Linked DNA regions of Lepisosteus oculatus. The protein of the gene in region 2 binds, or shares a complex with, the protein of the main gene of each other region. Links are inferred from orthologs where the notes say so. Each region holds a gene or a part of one and is shown on either strand. Other genes may lie near its edges.

Evidence for each region.
Region 1: the proteins of orc4 (region 2) and orc5 are in contact, whole or in part, in a cryo-EM structure (PDB 7JPO), measured with the Homo sapiens proteins. The link is inferred for Lepisosteus oculatus from reciprocal best matches to the Homo sapiens genes ORC4 and ORC5. Residues at the interface, in NP_001177808.1 of Homo sapiens: Ser18, Gln21, Arg22, Arg25, Glu26, Cys29, Arg30, Gln31, Arg69, Thr74, Asn100, Leu102, Leu103, Gln104, Ile105, Ile109, Glu113, Arg116, Asp162, Arg277, Met281, Met284, Leu285, Asn288, Met311, Asp312, Ser313, Lys314, Asn316, Ile317; in NP_002544.1 of Homo sapiens: Ile17, Ser20, Leu21, Phe22, Gly23, Glu24, His26, His27, Phe28, Ser29, Phe30, Pro31, Tyr36, Gly37, His38, Thr39, Thr98, Phe99, Asn100, Val103, Arg104, Arg131, Glu134, Asn136, Pro139, Gly140, Arg143, Gln145, Glu146, Leu147.

The regions. Positions count from the first base shown.
Region 1 is NC_090702.1:48,312,454-48,319,978, forward strand, and holds the start of orc5 (origin recognition complex subunit 5), read left to right. Parts: upstream 1-4,385; 5' UTR 4,386-4,452; exon of another isoform or gene 4,453-4,457; intron 4,458-6,088; 5' UTR 6,089-6,089; coding exon 6,090-6,203; intron 6,204-6,387; coding exon 6,388-6,480; intron 6,481-7,525. UniProt on the Homo sapiens protein: Component of the origin recognition complex (ORC) that binds origins of replication. DNA-binding is ATP-dependent. The specific DNA sequences that define origins of replication have not been identified yet.
Region 2 is NC_090707.1:2,792,155-2,799,232, forward strand, and holds the start of orc4 (origin recognition complex subunit 4), read right to left. Parts: upstream 3,011-7,078; 5' UTR 2,895-3,010; intron 2,034-2,894; 5' UTR 2,015-2,033; coding exon 1,958-2,014; intron 555-1,957; coding exon 478-554; intron 1-477. UniProt on the Homo sapiens protein: Component of the origin recognition complex (ORC) that binds origins of replication. DNA-binding is ATP-dependent. The specific DNA sequences that define origins of replication have not been identified yet.

The DNA.
Region 1 (7,525 bases), on a different chromosome or scaffold from region 2:
CATTGTAACGTCCCAGTGTGTGTTCTGTGTGTGTTTTTTTCTGTTATGTCCACACTGCTGACCCTTGATTATTCTCCCTTCCCCATTGGCCCACCATTACACCACACTTTCAGTATGATGTCATCATCAATTAGCTCTCAGCCAATCAGAACACATCTTATTCAGCCTATAACATGGAGGTTTTCAGCAAGGAGAGGCCTTTTGTTTGACTTTGGTCCCGTTTGCTTCTGGTTATTGCTTCGGCTTTGTTTGTTTGTTGGTTTGTTTTGCTTTGTGTGTGTATTTTCGTATTAGCTTCGGCTTTGTTGTTTTGTTGGTTTTTTGTTAGTTTCTTTGTGCTTTTGTTTGTGTGTGTTCATCCTTGTTTTGCCATTACCTTGCCCCACTGTTACATGTTCAACTTTTGTGTTCTTTTGTACCCTGCTCCTGTTGATTACTCTTGTTTTCCCTTATTTCTATTCCTGGTTCACTTGTGTTTTTGTGTGAACTTTTGTATATAAGGTTAGTTTAGGTTGTTGGGTACACTTTACACACTCGGTTGATTTTGTATTAGTACACTAGTTTCGTACGGGTGAGTGCCATTTGTCTTGTATGGTTTTGGGTAGTCAGTTAGCTAGGGTGTTGAAGACGCCGAAGACCGTGTTTTGGGTTTTCTTTTGTAGTCCGATTAGCTTTCCCTCACTGTCCTAGCCAGCTCCATTTTGTTTATTATTTTCTTTCCTTTGGCACCACTTTAGTTGCTTACCCTTGTTATCACGCTTCCTAATCCCTCACCAAAACCCACCTGCTTCCAAAAGAATTATCCTAAATGTTACACCCCTTTACCCCTAGACACTTGGGGTCGTAGCAATCATACATGGGAATGCGTGTCTGTGTATAGGCCCACTGACTGGGATTCACAATCTTTTTCCCAGCACTGCATCGAAAGCCCAGCTACCTCTCATTATCTTTAAATCAACATAACTCACACTCATGTCATTTTCTCATTTGTGTCAGAATATGCCCACACAGCCATGGATGAAAGACTTAGTCAATGACCAACAGGATTTTCACACAGGGTAGCCTTTTTATGGTTTTGAAAAGTCTTTTTGAGGAGGCCCCCTCAGCGGGTTTCCCGGATGAGTCAGTGGAAATTCACCTCTGTTTGGGTGTGAGGAAGAGAGAGGCCAGCTGGCGTAGGTTCAACCTGGATTCCTGCACACCATTCCTGTAAGGGGAGCTGGTCCAGGCTCCCGTGAAGCATAGTTCAGGACCCTATGCAGACGGTATGATCCGGAAGTAACTGGAGAAGGACAGCAGGGAAAAGACGTTGAGGATCTGGAGAATGGACTGGAGTAGAGGACAATGGGATGGAACTGAATGTTGGGGCGTTAAAGAATAAAACGCATCTCAACCCTAATATTTGTTTTTTAGGGAACATCCCACCCTTCTGTGCACGCAGCTTGACAGCTCCTGACTTTCACACGGTGAGATTCAGAGATTCAATCTCTATTGTCTATTGCACAGCTACGCCTTTACTGAGAAAACCCCCCGGCGCAGAGGAGAGAGGCTGAAGCAGCATAAACGCCAGTGAAGCGGCAGCCGTCTGGAACTTGCAAGGGACAGCAAGGCTGTACCCCTCAGCTGCAGGGTGCGTTTACTGGGCTCCGGATCGCTCTCGTTTCCCAGTCCTCAATGGTGCGGCAGTATGATGTATACAAATCCAGAGTCGTCATTTATTATCCTATCCATCCTACCAATGTGGAAAATCACCCGCTGGATCTTTGCCATCTGGATCCCAGAGGTGTCCCCTGCGCCCACAGGGGGAGAAGGAGGCAGTACAAAGGGCTCCCCTACCCTGCATCGCCCCCTGCTAGGCTGTTCCTTGATTCACATCCTCTGAGTCAGAGGGCAACTCATCTTCTTGCAACCAGTTGCTCTGACAAGCTCTGTTCGGTGGCTCTGGTTCACAGTGGAGCTCCTCGGATACTCATGGGGTTTCTAAGTTTTTTTTTTTCCTCAGTGGAACCTTTTTCCTCCCATGTGCTGAAAGAAGCCGTGGAATTTCGAAGGCACGTCTTTCGCAAGAGCAAGGGGTGGTACAGTCCGCAAGAGAAATTACATTTTTTTAATCCAGCACTTGCACTGCAGAGGAACATCATTTAATGACGGGCAACAGTTGAGCACATTGTGCTCTGGGCTGAAAAGCAATAGACGCCCCCTCCAGCTGCTCTAAGTCTCTGGATCCTGAAAGGCTCTGACAAAATCAAGTCAACCCAGCAGGTCTCTTCGAAATTCCCAAAGGAGTGTGGGAGTTCTGAAAGAAATGAGTCTTTTTACTCCTGAATGGAGAAGACTACAAGGGGACCTGTTCCGCGTGTTCAGTTTTTTCAGCCTGGCGCAGAAGGACATAACTTTAATTCCAGAAATGTATTAGGCGGATCTTCTCTGGACTGATTCAGAGCAGCCATATCTAATTTGTAAGGGGGCAGCCAAAATTGTACACAGTATTCTAAATGGGGCCTAATTAGTGCATTGTACAATTAGGCCAAAGCTTGTCGCTAGACGTCTACAGCCTCTCTCTCACAGCACATGAGCAGCTTGCTGGCTCCACAACAAAGTCTCCATCTGAGACTCTTCTCAGCTCTCACAGGTTCAAGTCAGCAGCTATATCATCCTGCAACTCACAACTGGCAGTGCACTAAAGCTCAGTACGTATGAGCCTGACAGTACCTGGATGGGAGACCTCCTGAGAAAAACTAAGGTTGCTGTTGGAAGAGGTGTTAGTGAGACCAGTGGGGGGCGCTCACCCTGCGGTCTGTGTGGGTCCTAATGCCCCAGTATAGTGATGGAGGCACTATACTGTAAAAAAGGCTCTGTCCTTTGGATGAGATGTAAAACCAAGGTCCTGACTCTCTGTGGTCAGTAAAAATCCCAAGAGTAGGGGTGTAACCCTGGCGTCCTGGCCAAATTTCCCATTGGCCCTTACCAATCATGGCATCCTAATAATCCCCATCTATGAATTGGCTCATCACTCTGCTCTCTTCCCTACTGAGAGCTGGTGTGTGGGGAGTGTACTGGAGCACTATGGCTGCAGTCATAATCAAGGTGGGGCTGCACACTGGTGGAGGGGAGCCCCCATTACCTGTAAAGAGCTTTGAGTGGAGTGTCCAGAAGAGCGCTGCGTAAGTGTGAGGAATTATTCATTATTATCATTCTGTCTAGGCAACCGTGGGGGCAGCTGGTTTGGACCCCATGCAAGACCGCAGCAGAGTAATCCTGGGAAAAGTTCCAAATTAGTTACCAAATCCAAGAAACGTCAAGCGATGCCGTAGATCCAGGGATAGAGCAAGAACTTCAAGAGCCGAGAAAGACGATAAGGTTTAGAGTATTCATCCAAAGGGAAAAGCGGGAAGCTCAGCAGTGAGCGGAGTGAGAGGGTGTAAGTAGGGAGGAGTGTGTGTGGAATGATAATTGATTAATTAGTGCAAGGAGAGAGGCGCTCGTGGGTATGCGGTGACGTCGAAGTGCTCATGTGCGGTTCATGGCAGCTTTCTTCTGGCCAGTTTCCTCCACTTTGAACTTTGAACCCCTGGAGCAGGGGAAATTGTTGCCTTTATTTCATATAGTGCCTTTTGTGACCGTCACAGTTCCTGCACAGGAATGCTTGATGCCCTCCGCCACCCGTTTCGGCCTGCAACACCTGGGGCGCGAACCTGGGTCTCCGGCGTAACGCCACAGGGAACCAGCCGCATGAGCTAAAGGGGACCTCCCTCAGCCCAGGCTGCTGAGGTCCCTGCTACGCGCAGGGAGGGCGATGACGTCACCGTGTCCGAACTAGCTCCGCTACACTTTCATGGTGCATAATCTCAAAGCGCCGGTGTTTTCTCAGCCCTTTGTCTCTCATGGAGTTAACTCTCAAATCGCTGAGGTCCAAGGAGTAAAATGCTCTGAACAATATTGGACTTTAAAGTACTTAAAAAATCAGCATAGATCCGTGACACGATTCCCTTTGATGTTGTATCACTATAATAAGTCAATCCCTGCAAACTGTTGTCTGTTTTTTAGTATCAACCAAGATTTTCCAAATACTATATCCTTTTATTTTTATCCAAATCTACTTGATGAAACAGTGTACCTTTCAATTTGGTTTTCTGTATATATAATATCTATTACATAAACAAGGATATATGTCCTACAGTTCATTATTTTATATTAATACAGTGCAGTATGAAGTCATCTCTACAAGCATGCGTTCTCTGGGAATTTGTCAGCTGTCTTTGGGTCGTTCCAAGCATATCCTAAGGAAAGACTACAAATCCCAGAAGGCCAAGCAGCCCGTGGCCTCCAGACGAGCTCTGATTGGCCACTTTTCTGTTGTCATGTGACAGGAAGGAATTTGAGCTCTAACCTCGGCGTGGCGCGAAAGCATGTAGCAGCAGGGAGACACTGGGGGAATTGCTGAGAGATCAGGTGCAGTATGTGACGTTGTTTTGTTTGACTGAGCAATATTAGCTCGTCCAAACGTGGTGCATAAAAGCTTCGATACTGCCACATTATGTTATCACTTAATAATTCAGCAAAGCCCTTTGCTATTTAAGAATTTGTTAGTATAATTTAAAGAAACACCGTTAGATTCGGTGAGCAGAGACTTCGGCTCTGCAGAATAGCTACAACGGGAAGCGAGACCGTAAAGAGCTCAGCTTGTATGCTGGCGGTACCGCACTCGCTCCTGGGACAGTGGTTCCCTGTGTGAGAGCCGTGACAGCCGAGTCGGCGCAGGAGTTTACTGTCGGGTCCGAGTCAAAAACCGGAGAGGCAGGGACAGAACCAGTGGTGCAACTGAGCTCACCGTTAGCGCTATGATATGGCGGTCTAGCAGACAAACAGGGTTTCTGTGACGGGTGTCTGTGTGTGCGCTGGAACCGCAGAGGTCTCCGCTGGTGTGATCTAAATGTTTCGGCTGCACTGTAGCACTCCTGCCTTTCCGATACAGTAAAACGGAGCTGAGTTCATTTCCACCAGTCTGTGCACCGGCGTTTCGGCGTTACTGATCAGAGCTCCATCGACAGCAGTGCGTCAGTACAGTGCGTCTCCCTTTCAGTAAGCAGCCTGATGTAAACTCACTTGTTTGAGCGGTCAGTAATGAGTATTAATATGCTAGTATATTATCTTAGACGTAATCGTATATAAAGGACGCCTGCTGTTTTCCACATCCAGTACGCTGAGACTCTCTGAGTCAACGTGTCTGTGATGCTCACTCAAAAACCTTCAGCTCTCCAGCTGGTCTTTTTTACGCTTGTTCTATACAGCTTCTAAAAGGAGCAGAAATGTATAAAGACAACAGCTACTGTATATCACCCTGTACCTCACACCTGGAAGCCCCTTGAAGCTCCGCAGGTGTGAGCCTGGTCAGTACCTGGATGGGGGACTCCTGGGAAAGCTGAGGTTGATACTGGAAGTGGTGCTAGTGGGCCAGTAGGGGGAGCTCACTCTGCAGTCTGCGTGGGTCCTAATGCCCCAGTATAGTGATGGGAACACTATACTGTAAAAAAAAAGGCTTCATCCTTGGGATGAGACATAACACAGGTCGTGACTCTCCATAGGTCACGAAAAATCTCGGGGCTTTGCTGAAAAAGGGTAGGGGTGTTAATTCTGGAGTCCTGGCCAAATTCCCCCCTGGCCTTTACCAGTCGTGGCCTCCTAATAATCCCCATCTGTGAACGGGCTCATCACTCTGCTCTTCTCCCCACTGAGAGCTGGTGTGTGGGGAGTGTACTGGTGCACTATGGGTGCCGTCACATCTTCCAGGGCTGTACATATGGCGGTATAGCTCTTTCGGCGGAGTGTCTGGAAGAGTGTTTTAGAAGTGTACGGATTATGCTGTGGATGATCAAGGAGTCACCTGGGCTTCACCGTGAGTGGACCGCAGTTCTGGTGGGGTCCAGTAGGGGGCGCAGTCTCCACACTGGAGAGCAGTAAGGGCCGTGGGAATAAAGGGTGGAGGCGGGGGAGCTGGGGTTTGTAGTCTCCCCCCCGTGTGGCCGCCTCCCGTGTCCAGTGTGTCCTCACCGCCGCGGGCCCCTCTGCCCCCTGTCTGTCCCTGCAGGATGCAGGCCCAGCTGCAGCACCCTGGCTACCCGGCGGCGCGCCTGCAGGTGGCGGAGGAGGCCGTGCCCTGCCGAGAGGCGCAGGCGGCCGCGCTGCTGGCGCTGTTCGGGGAGGTGAGAGGATTGGGTGGCGTGTGCGTGTGCGTGTGCGTGTGCGTGTGCGTGTGCGTGTGCGTGTGCGTGTGCGTGTGCGTGTGCGACTGGCGCGTGGCCTGCGTGCCGGGGTCTGGGCAGGGCGGGGCAGGTGTCGATCAGCGCCGGCCCTCAGCCCCTCTTCCTCCCTGTCCTGTCCCTGCAGCCCGAGCACTACAGCTACCCCTCCCTCTTCCTCTACGGACACCGGGCGACTGGGAAGAGCCACGTCACGCTCACCCTGCTCCGAGAGCTGCAGGTAGGCCCGGGGCGCCGCCGGGGCGGCTGGGTTTGGGCGGGGAAGGCCTGCACTGGGATGGGGCTTGGGCAGGGGCAGGGGTGGCCAGGGTGGGGTAGGGGCAGCTAGCCAGGGCCTGGGGCAGAGACAGGGGCTGGGGTGGCCAGGGTGGGGTAGGGGCAGCTGGCCTGGGCCTGGGGCAGAGTCAGGGGCAGGGGTAGGGGTGGCCAGGGTGGGGTAGGGGCAGCTGGCCTGGGCCTGGGGCAGAGACAGGGCCTGGGGTGGCCAGGATGGGGTAGGGGCAGCTGGCCTGGGCCTGGGGCAGAGACAGGGCCTGGGGTGGCCAGGATGGGGTAGGGGCAGCTGGCCTGGGCCTGGGGCAGAGACAGGGGCTGGGGTGGCCAGGGTGGGGTAGGGGCAGCTGGCCTGAGTCTGGGGCGGGGGCAGGGGTGGGTGGCTGGGGTGGGGTAGGGGCAGCTGGCCTGAGTCTGGGGCGGGGGCAGGGGTGGGTGGCTGGGGTGGGGTAGGGGCAGCTGGCCTGAGTCTGGGGCGGGGGCAGGGTCAGGGGTGGGTGGCCTGGGTCTGGGGCAGAGACAGGGGCAGGGCCAGTCTGTGCCCAGCTCACTGTCTCTCTCCTACAAATCAACGTTTAAAGTCCAGGAAAGGTCATCGGCAGGACTGGCCAGGCACAGTGTCATCACAGGACAGCGTATGCAATTAAACTGGAGTTTGCATGAACAATACAATGAATATACTTCTGATCTTCTCATTTGTCCTGAAACAAGTGCACGTCCACATATCCGCTGTGTGCACCTAATTGTGGGTCGCCATACGTGTGAACATGTGCAGTGCCCTCCAGAAGTACTGGGACAGCAAGGTGTCTGGTATTGTTGCTTACGGTCGGGCCATTTCTATTTGTGATCTCAAGATGGAAATGAATAAGTGCAATCTGAATTTACACTTCAGTTTAAAAACGCGTACGTGTTGGGGGCACACTTTGCTCTACGTACGTTCCACAGTGGAAAGTCAGGGTGTGAACGTGGCGGTTCTGCGTGGGCTCGTGCCC
Region 2 (7,078 bases):
TGAGGACACAACAACAGCACAGTTTGCAGTGGTGCTCCTCAAAATAGCTCAGACATAGACCCAATGGCTCTGATCTGCTGTTTCCCTTGCATATAACTACAAACTACATCACGGGCCGTGAAAATTCAAAATCATCAGCTATAAAAAGAGAAATTGTTTCTAGAAGGAAAAGGTAAGAAAAATACTGAGACAAAAACATCTAATATAAAGCAATTACAATTTTGTACATCTGTTTGTCCTTCACAGGTTAAAGACTTGACAACCTTACCCCGACAGACATAACTGCACTATTTATGATTAACGAGAGCAGGTAAAATTAAGTGTTATGCTACAGAACAGGCTGGCAGCAATGGTTAAACTTGGGGAATCGTATTCAGTGACCCAAGTGCTGTTTAAGCTCTTAGCGAGCTGAAGACACTCAAGCTCTTCAGGAAGCAAGGCATTTGAATACAGTCCAAGGGCAATCAAAACACTTACTCATACTGGGACTCCACTCCGAAGGGCTTGCTGGGGAGTTTCTGGTGACAGCACCTTTCCCTCAGTATTTTGTGAGCCTGAAAACGAGAAGAAAGCACGCGTTAAACTTCACAGCAACAAAGGGAGTCTTTATTGATTGGCAAACCATTCAAACAGATGAAATAGTAATAATATCGTATAAAAAATCACTTGTTCTTTTTTGTACGATTCACAATGTACAAATATTTATAAGAAAGAAAAGTGAGGTGAAACTGAAAAATTCAGTAATATAGCCGACAGAAAAAAGACAGACAGATATACGGGCATACAGATACATTATCTGGCTATTAATAGCCTCTATAAAGCAGAAAAAATCAAATGTATGTATTAAAATCAAAACATATTTTATATGTTGGAATACCTGGCAGGCACAGTAACAGCAACTGAGCAAAAACATAAAGGTTATAGTTTAGCAACTAATCCTATCCAACAGATTCACATATTCTGCAAGAAGGTTTTCATCTGTCAGGCACTAAGAAAATAAGTAAACAATTCCACTAGTATATAAAACAATCTACTGTCATGGGAAACGCATTTAATACAGAATGCAAAGTATACAATGAGTACTGAGAAACTAGCCTTCAGAAAATAAGGCAATAGAGCTAGATGCCCCTCAGGCCAAACTCAGAACAGAACACTCCGAACATCTTGAGCTGCAGCAGGTGGTAACTTCTAGAGCTCCATCGTTCTTACATTCTGATTATACAGCCTAACAACTAATCCTTGAGGATGTACTCTGACAAGATCAGACAAATTTAGCTTCTAAGAAGCAAAAAAAATACTTTAACTATGCAGAATTTCAGAAATACAAATAGTATTAAATGTACCCATTTTATCTGGTAAGATCCTCTGCGAATTTTTGATGCAGACAGCACAATCACAAGTAATACACAGACATCAGAGGATCACACTAACACAGATTTAGAACGGAGATTACACTTTGAAAAGTGCTGCGATTCGCATGGGCTTTTTCGAGTCAATTATCATTGTTAACAAAGAGGAACAGTGTGAATCTGCAATAATCACAGCAGAAACTAAGAATAAGAAAATAGATGAAGGGAAGTTAGTGTATCTGATGTAAGTCAAATTTCAACATTCTACTTGCAAGAACTTCTTTCAGATGCAAAGCTAGCATGACCTAAATACTGATCGCAGATAAGCGATCCTGCAGATAGAACTAATCTATGCAACACATGGTTTCACTTCATTCTTATCTTTCTGATCTACACAATCCCAATGTTTTGCGGGAGTCCAGATGTGTCAGACTAATCCTTAAATAATGTAGTGCCTACTCAAGAGGCTGCTTTATTTTCCTCACTTAACTGTTCTCTGGCTCGAACTCACCATACATTCAGATGAAGTCCCAGCAAAAACCTGTCCACCTATTTAAAATGGAAGAAACTGGTACCAACGGTAATTATCATCAATAAAAAATACAAACCTGAGAAATACATTCTCCCAGTGTTAAAGTGCTCTCTTTAGACTTTCTTTTACTCATGATGTCATAACCTTGGTGCCTAAAGAAGGAAAAAGACATTAGAGGTCAGCAGGCAGGCAAACTCCCTTCTGCAGGATAAACAGTGCAAATGGATACAGGCAAACTGACACCTCCGTCAGCGAAATGAGCACAGTGGTAAAACCTGCCTCCTCCAGAAAGTCAGGATTTCATCACGATGAGTACATTACATTCAGATGAATTACCAGGCTCTCACCTTGTCGACGACAAATATTTGTCTAGAACGAAAACTATATTGACTGACTTTTCAGATTTTAGATACAAAACAAAAGACGGTTATTGCTTGCTTGTGAGCTGCATTATTGTTAACCCGATTCTTGAACTGGACTCTATGGAAAAGTTATGAGCTGAAGAAGCTATCTTTGAGAGCCTAATCGAACACGTCGGCATGTCTGAAACGTGACTGCGCGTCTTTATCTTGAATTGTAATTACCAGCCCTTCGGTGCTGTGCTCCGACCTGCCAGTTGAAAAGTTGCACGAACCTGACTGCGCCAGACTTGCCTTCGCCTTCAATTATGCTTAACTAGGCATGACGTTACACTCTTGCCAGAACTGTTAAGCGGGCTGAAAATGTTTTAAACCTGGCAAACAGGGAAAACCCGTCTGGGTTGCAAAATACATGCAGGGTTTATTTCACATGCGCTACAATTCATTGGGAAGAACACAACCACCACACGGATACTGTGCTGTACGCAATGTTACCTTACAGTCTCCTCACTACAGCACCTCAACGGCAGGAGCCTGAGCGTGCTTTCATAGATGCTGCATAGCTCCCTCATCTAAAACGCATCCCGGACTCATTTCACAGGGAAAGGAAAGGCGGTGAACCTGAGAAACCGTGGATATATATAATTTTTTTACCTGTGACTTCTCGCTCAGTCCCTAAATCCCGACCATCCCTGCTCTTCCCGCAGTCACCCACCACCAGCACCTGCGATCACCTCTGAACTCTCAACCCGGCGCGTGACGTCAGCGGCGCCCTTCCGGCAGGCTCGCCCGTCGCTTCCGCTGGGTTTTACCGTGCATGCCGGGACACCCCTCTCCTCCGGGCCCCAAGCTGCGGCGCAGGCGCGCTGAAGAGCTCCATCTTTCTATCCCAACAAGCCCAGAGAGAGAGCCAGCAGCAGCAGTTGATGGGGAAGCTTTTTATTTTTATTTTTAAAGGGACAGAACCTCATTTTAACCAGCTCAAACCTTCCGTTTCGCCGCCCTTAGCCTCCCAGGAACTCAACGGGGGCAGGAAAAATGGAGGAAAAGGGTCTTAGGCCTTTATATTAAGGAGAACAATCCAGAAAGCCCTTTTCTCTGTCTCTTGCTTCTTCTTAGCAACACAACCCTCTCCTCTCCCTGTGTCTGTGCTTTGGCCCTGGCTGGAGACATTTCTGAGCAGAGACCTCTCAGTTCACACAGAGAATAAAAACTTCGCTATTTCTCGGTCACTCTGCCTGTAATTTCAATTTCTCTGGCGATGGAAGATAATCAGAGGTAGGTGCGCGTTTTTAATTCCTGGATATATTTTTTTGAAAAATGTTAAATTTCAGCTCCTGTTTGCCCTGAGTGTCTGAAAATGCATTTTATTTATGTGTTCTGGTGTTGGGGCTGTCTGTTCTGCAGAATATTGCTGTGAAGACTACACGCAGCCACAGATTATATTTAAATATTTTTTTCTTAAATGGTATTTTTTTTCCTTTGAACAGTCAAGGTGCATTTTGTTGAAGTTGGCAGGGGATGTGGACGCCTCCTTGAGATTTGGATTTTATCAAGCAAATTAAAATATCACGAAAAGCGGTAGATCGGTGTTCCCGTTACAATGTACCGAAGCCCTGCGTGATTAAATAACCTGGCTCAGGCCGACCGGGGCTTCGGGAGATCTCCTGGAAGCTTTCATCGGCCATATAAAAAGTTTAATTGTGAAGATAATGAAATTTAGCCCGGTTAAATGGTTTGTGTACATCCGAGTGGCCCCATACAGCACTGTTTCGCAGTTAGGTTGTCTACTTCTGAGTCATTGGATGCCATACCACCGGTTGTAAACGGGCACAGCTAATTCTGGATTAAAACCAGCCTGAGCCCTAGTCTCCTGACCGACACCTCGGCTGCCTGTATCTCAGGTATTTTTCAGCTGCTGCTCATTAAAACCTCTCATTAGCTGTCCACGGCGTTGTTTCTCCTTTTCATAGTTTCCAAATGCAAATATTGATGTTGTAAACGGCTGTCCTCTGCCGCCGCTCCAGCAGGACTTCACAGTGAAGGCGAGTTCCATGATGTGGATCAAGATGTTGCTGTTTTTTCTATGACATGACTTTTCTAGAGTTATTCTTGGCAGACTGTTTTTTTTTTATAATCCCTTCATGCAAGGTGCATGTGATGGATAAGCCATGTTAAATTGTGTGATTTGTGAGTTAGGCATGGCTCCTGTATGGTTTCTTATGCCCGGGTTGGTGAAAAAGAATTCCAAAGGAAAAATCGAAGCAAGTGGTTTAAATGTGAATGCAAATCGTACTACAAGAAGCTGTCTCATTCAGAAAATGAAGAGGTGTACCAACAACCCAATCAATAGCCTAGATATTTCTCTTCAGAACTTATTGATATAGTGTTGGCTTTTCCTATAAGAAGAGAAAGTTGGGTGATCTCACACCTACCGTCTGAAATTCAGCTAATGCTGTACCGAATACTGAACAGCGAAGGATCATTGACTATAATGAAAATGTGTGTGAGAGAGCAATTGTTTTACAGGTGTGTGCTCTCTGGGGGTAGACCTATATAAGACCATTCCCATAGACGCCATGTCCTTTAACATAATCAAACATTGTTCACCATTTATGTTATTGTTATTAATGATATTCACTTGCTTCGACAGCAGAACTATTAAAAACATAAAACATGACCTATTACGGCAGAGCAGCTGGGTACAATCATGGAGGTTAAGTTACAGCATCAATGCTTGGGCACACGTGAAATGTACTTCTGTGGAATTTCCCTCAGGAAAGTGGTAAACAGCTGTACAGGACGTTCGCATGTTTGTAAGTGTTTTGTATTCATTACTGCCTGCTTTTTCTTATATTAGTAGGTTGTTCAGTTTAGATGGCCATTTTCCTAATCCTGGAGATAAATAATGAATACTAAATATGTACTCGACTTTTATTTTTGACATCTGTTTTTCTGGAATCTCTTAGGTAGGTGGGTTTAAACTGTATCCATAGATTTTGGTCCTCTGGGCGCCTGTCGAGCTATAGTTGACAAAAACCTCAGTTTTTTCCCTTTCTGTATTTTTTTCATATATTTCGTGCCAGTCATATGGAAAGCATCTGAAAGCAAGGGACTGCCTTGCAATCAGTGTGATTCTTGGCTTAGCCTCACCTGGCCTTGTCAGTTAATAGACAGGGAAACACTGAAGTGCATCTGTACATGTGAGCCAAGCCATAGGCTGCAGTCAGTGTGTTCATAACTTGGATCACCGTACTGTCTCGCCATACGTATGATGCTGTGTACAGCTAGTGCACCCTGATGCTGAAGAAACGCGAGGGCTAGGTGCGGCGATGAGGATGCCTCTGTCCGAGGACAGGATGAGTCCTGCATGTTGGACAGGGGGTTCGTCATCTTTGTAAGGAAGCGGCGCTTGTCCCCAGAATCGGTTTCCACAATGAAAGGCATTTTGTGCCTCTTCTGCTTTATCGCTGTAGAAGGTCAAGGCCGCACCCAGTAATTATTTTCTTTAACATCTTCCCGCAGAGGTGCGAGGAGCTGGGTGTCTCCCAGCTGTTTTTGTGTATTTTTGCAGTGACTGTGGGCTGTGCCTTGTGTGATGAAGAGCAGCCGAGATACACTACTGTCTGTGTGGCATAGAATCAGCTGCTCAGGTTTCCTCCTGTGATTCATCTTCCAGATTTAAGATCCTCTGCACCCACATATTTCACATTTTGATCAACCTTTATTGAGAGCGGGGATTAGAGTCTGCGTTAGGTTTATATTCAAAGGGCTATTTTTCTTCTTTTCTTTTAGCCTGGACTGTAAAATTTCCACACTCCCAGTGCAGCTGTTAAGGCAGATGCCGTCCTTGCTGGCTTGTAGCGCCATGTACTGCTGCTGGTAGATCAGCAACATTTATTGGGGTGTCATTTACAGCCCTCTGTCACAGTCATACACAGTGTTCCACTTAGATTTCATATTGGGGCGCTTTACGACAGCTCAGCGCATTCCGTTTTTTCTCTGACTGAACCCATTGGCAGTGGTGGTTGCCATTGAGTTCTCTTGGTACTATGGGAAGCTGACTTTAATTTCATCCTTTTGTGGAATTTGAAATTAATGATTTTGTATGATATGTCTGATTATAATTCTATGTAATAGAAAGCAAGACTGTTTTAAGAAATTGGAAGTAGCCAGATTTGTCAGAAAACCTACAGGGTAATCTGTGTATTTATCTGTGTATCATGGCAAAATTCACTCAGAATTGTATTCACATGTTGTTGTGATATTGTGACAATTTTAGCTTATTTTAAGATGGTTCACAGCGGTAAAAAATAAAAACACTGGTTTCAAAATATTCAGCAGACCTAAACAGATTTTGATCCAGCATCCGTTTCTGTATGGTAGCTTTTGTTTGATGTGCTTATTGTCAAGGTATATTCCTTCCTTTTTTTTAAATTACAGTAATTAAATTGTGTGTTTCAAATACTTTCAAAGTTAAATTCCTGGGGAAGGACAAGTATGGATCTTTATGTACATCTACCATTCATTCCTAATGTGAAGAATTGGGAAGAGAAGATCGGCGTCCCACTGTTTGAAGTCCTTGGAAAGAGCTTTTTGAGCTGCACGGCTGATAAAAGCTTCTCGGAGCCCAGGTCCTGCAGGTGTGAATCTATTAGCCGACTGTGACCAGAACTTGTGGCTCGGGTTCTGCAGGGGAGGCCAGTAGGTTTGAAGTCAATGAGCTGAGTGGACGACAGTGACCCCTTTGGCTGGCGGGGGGCAGGCGGGCCTACAGGGCCTCGTAATCTCCACCTGAGACCTTAGCTGTGCCGTTCGTGCTGTAAGGCTCCTGGTAC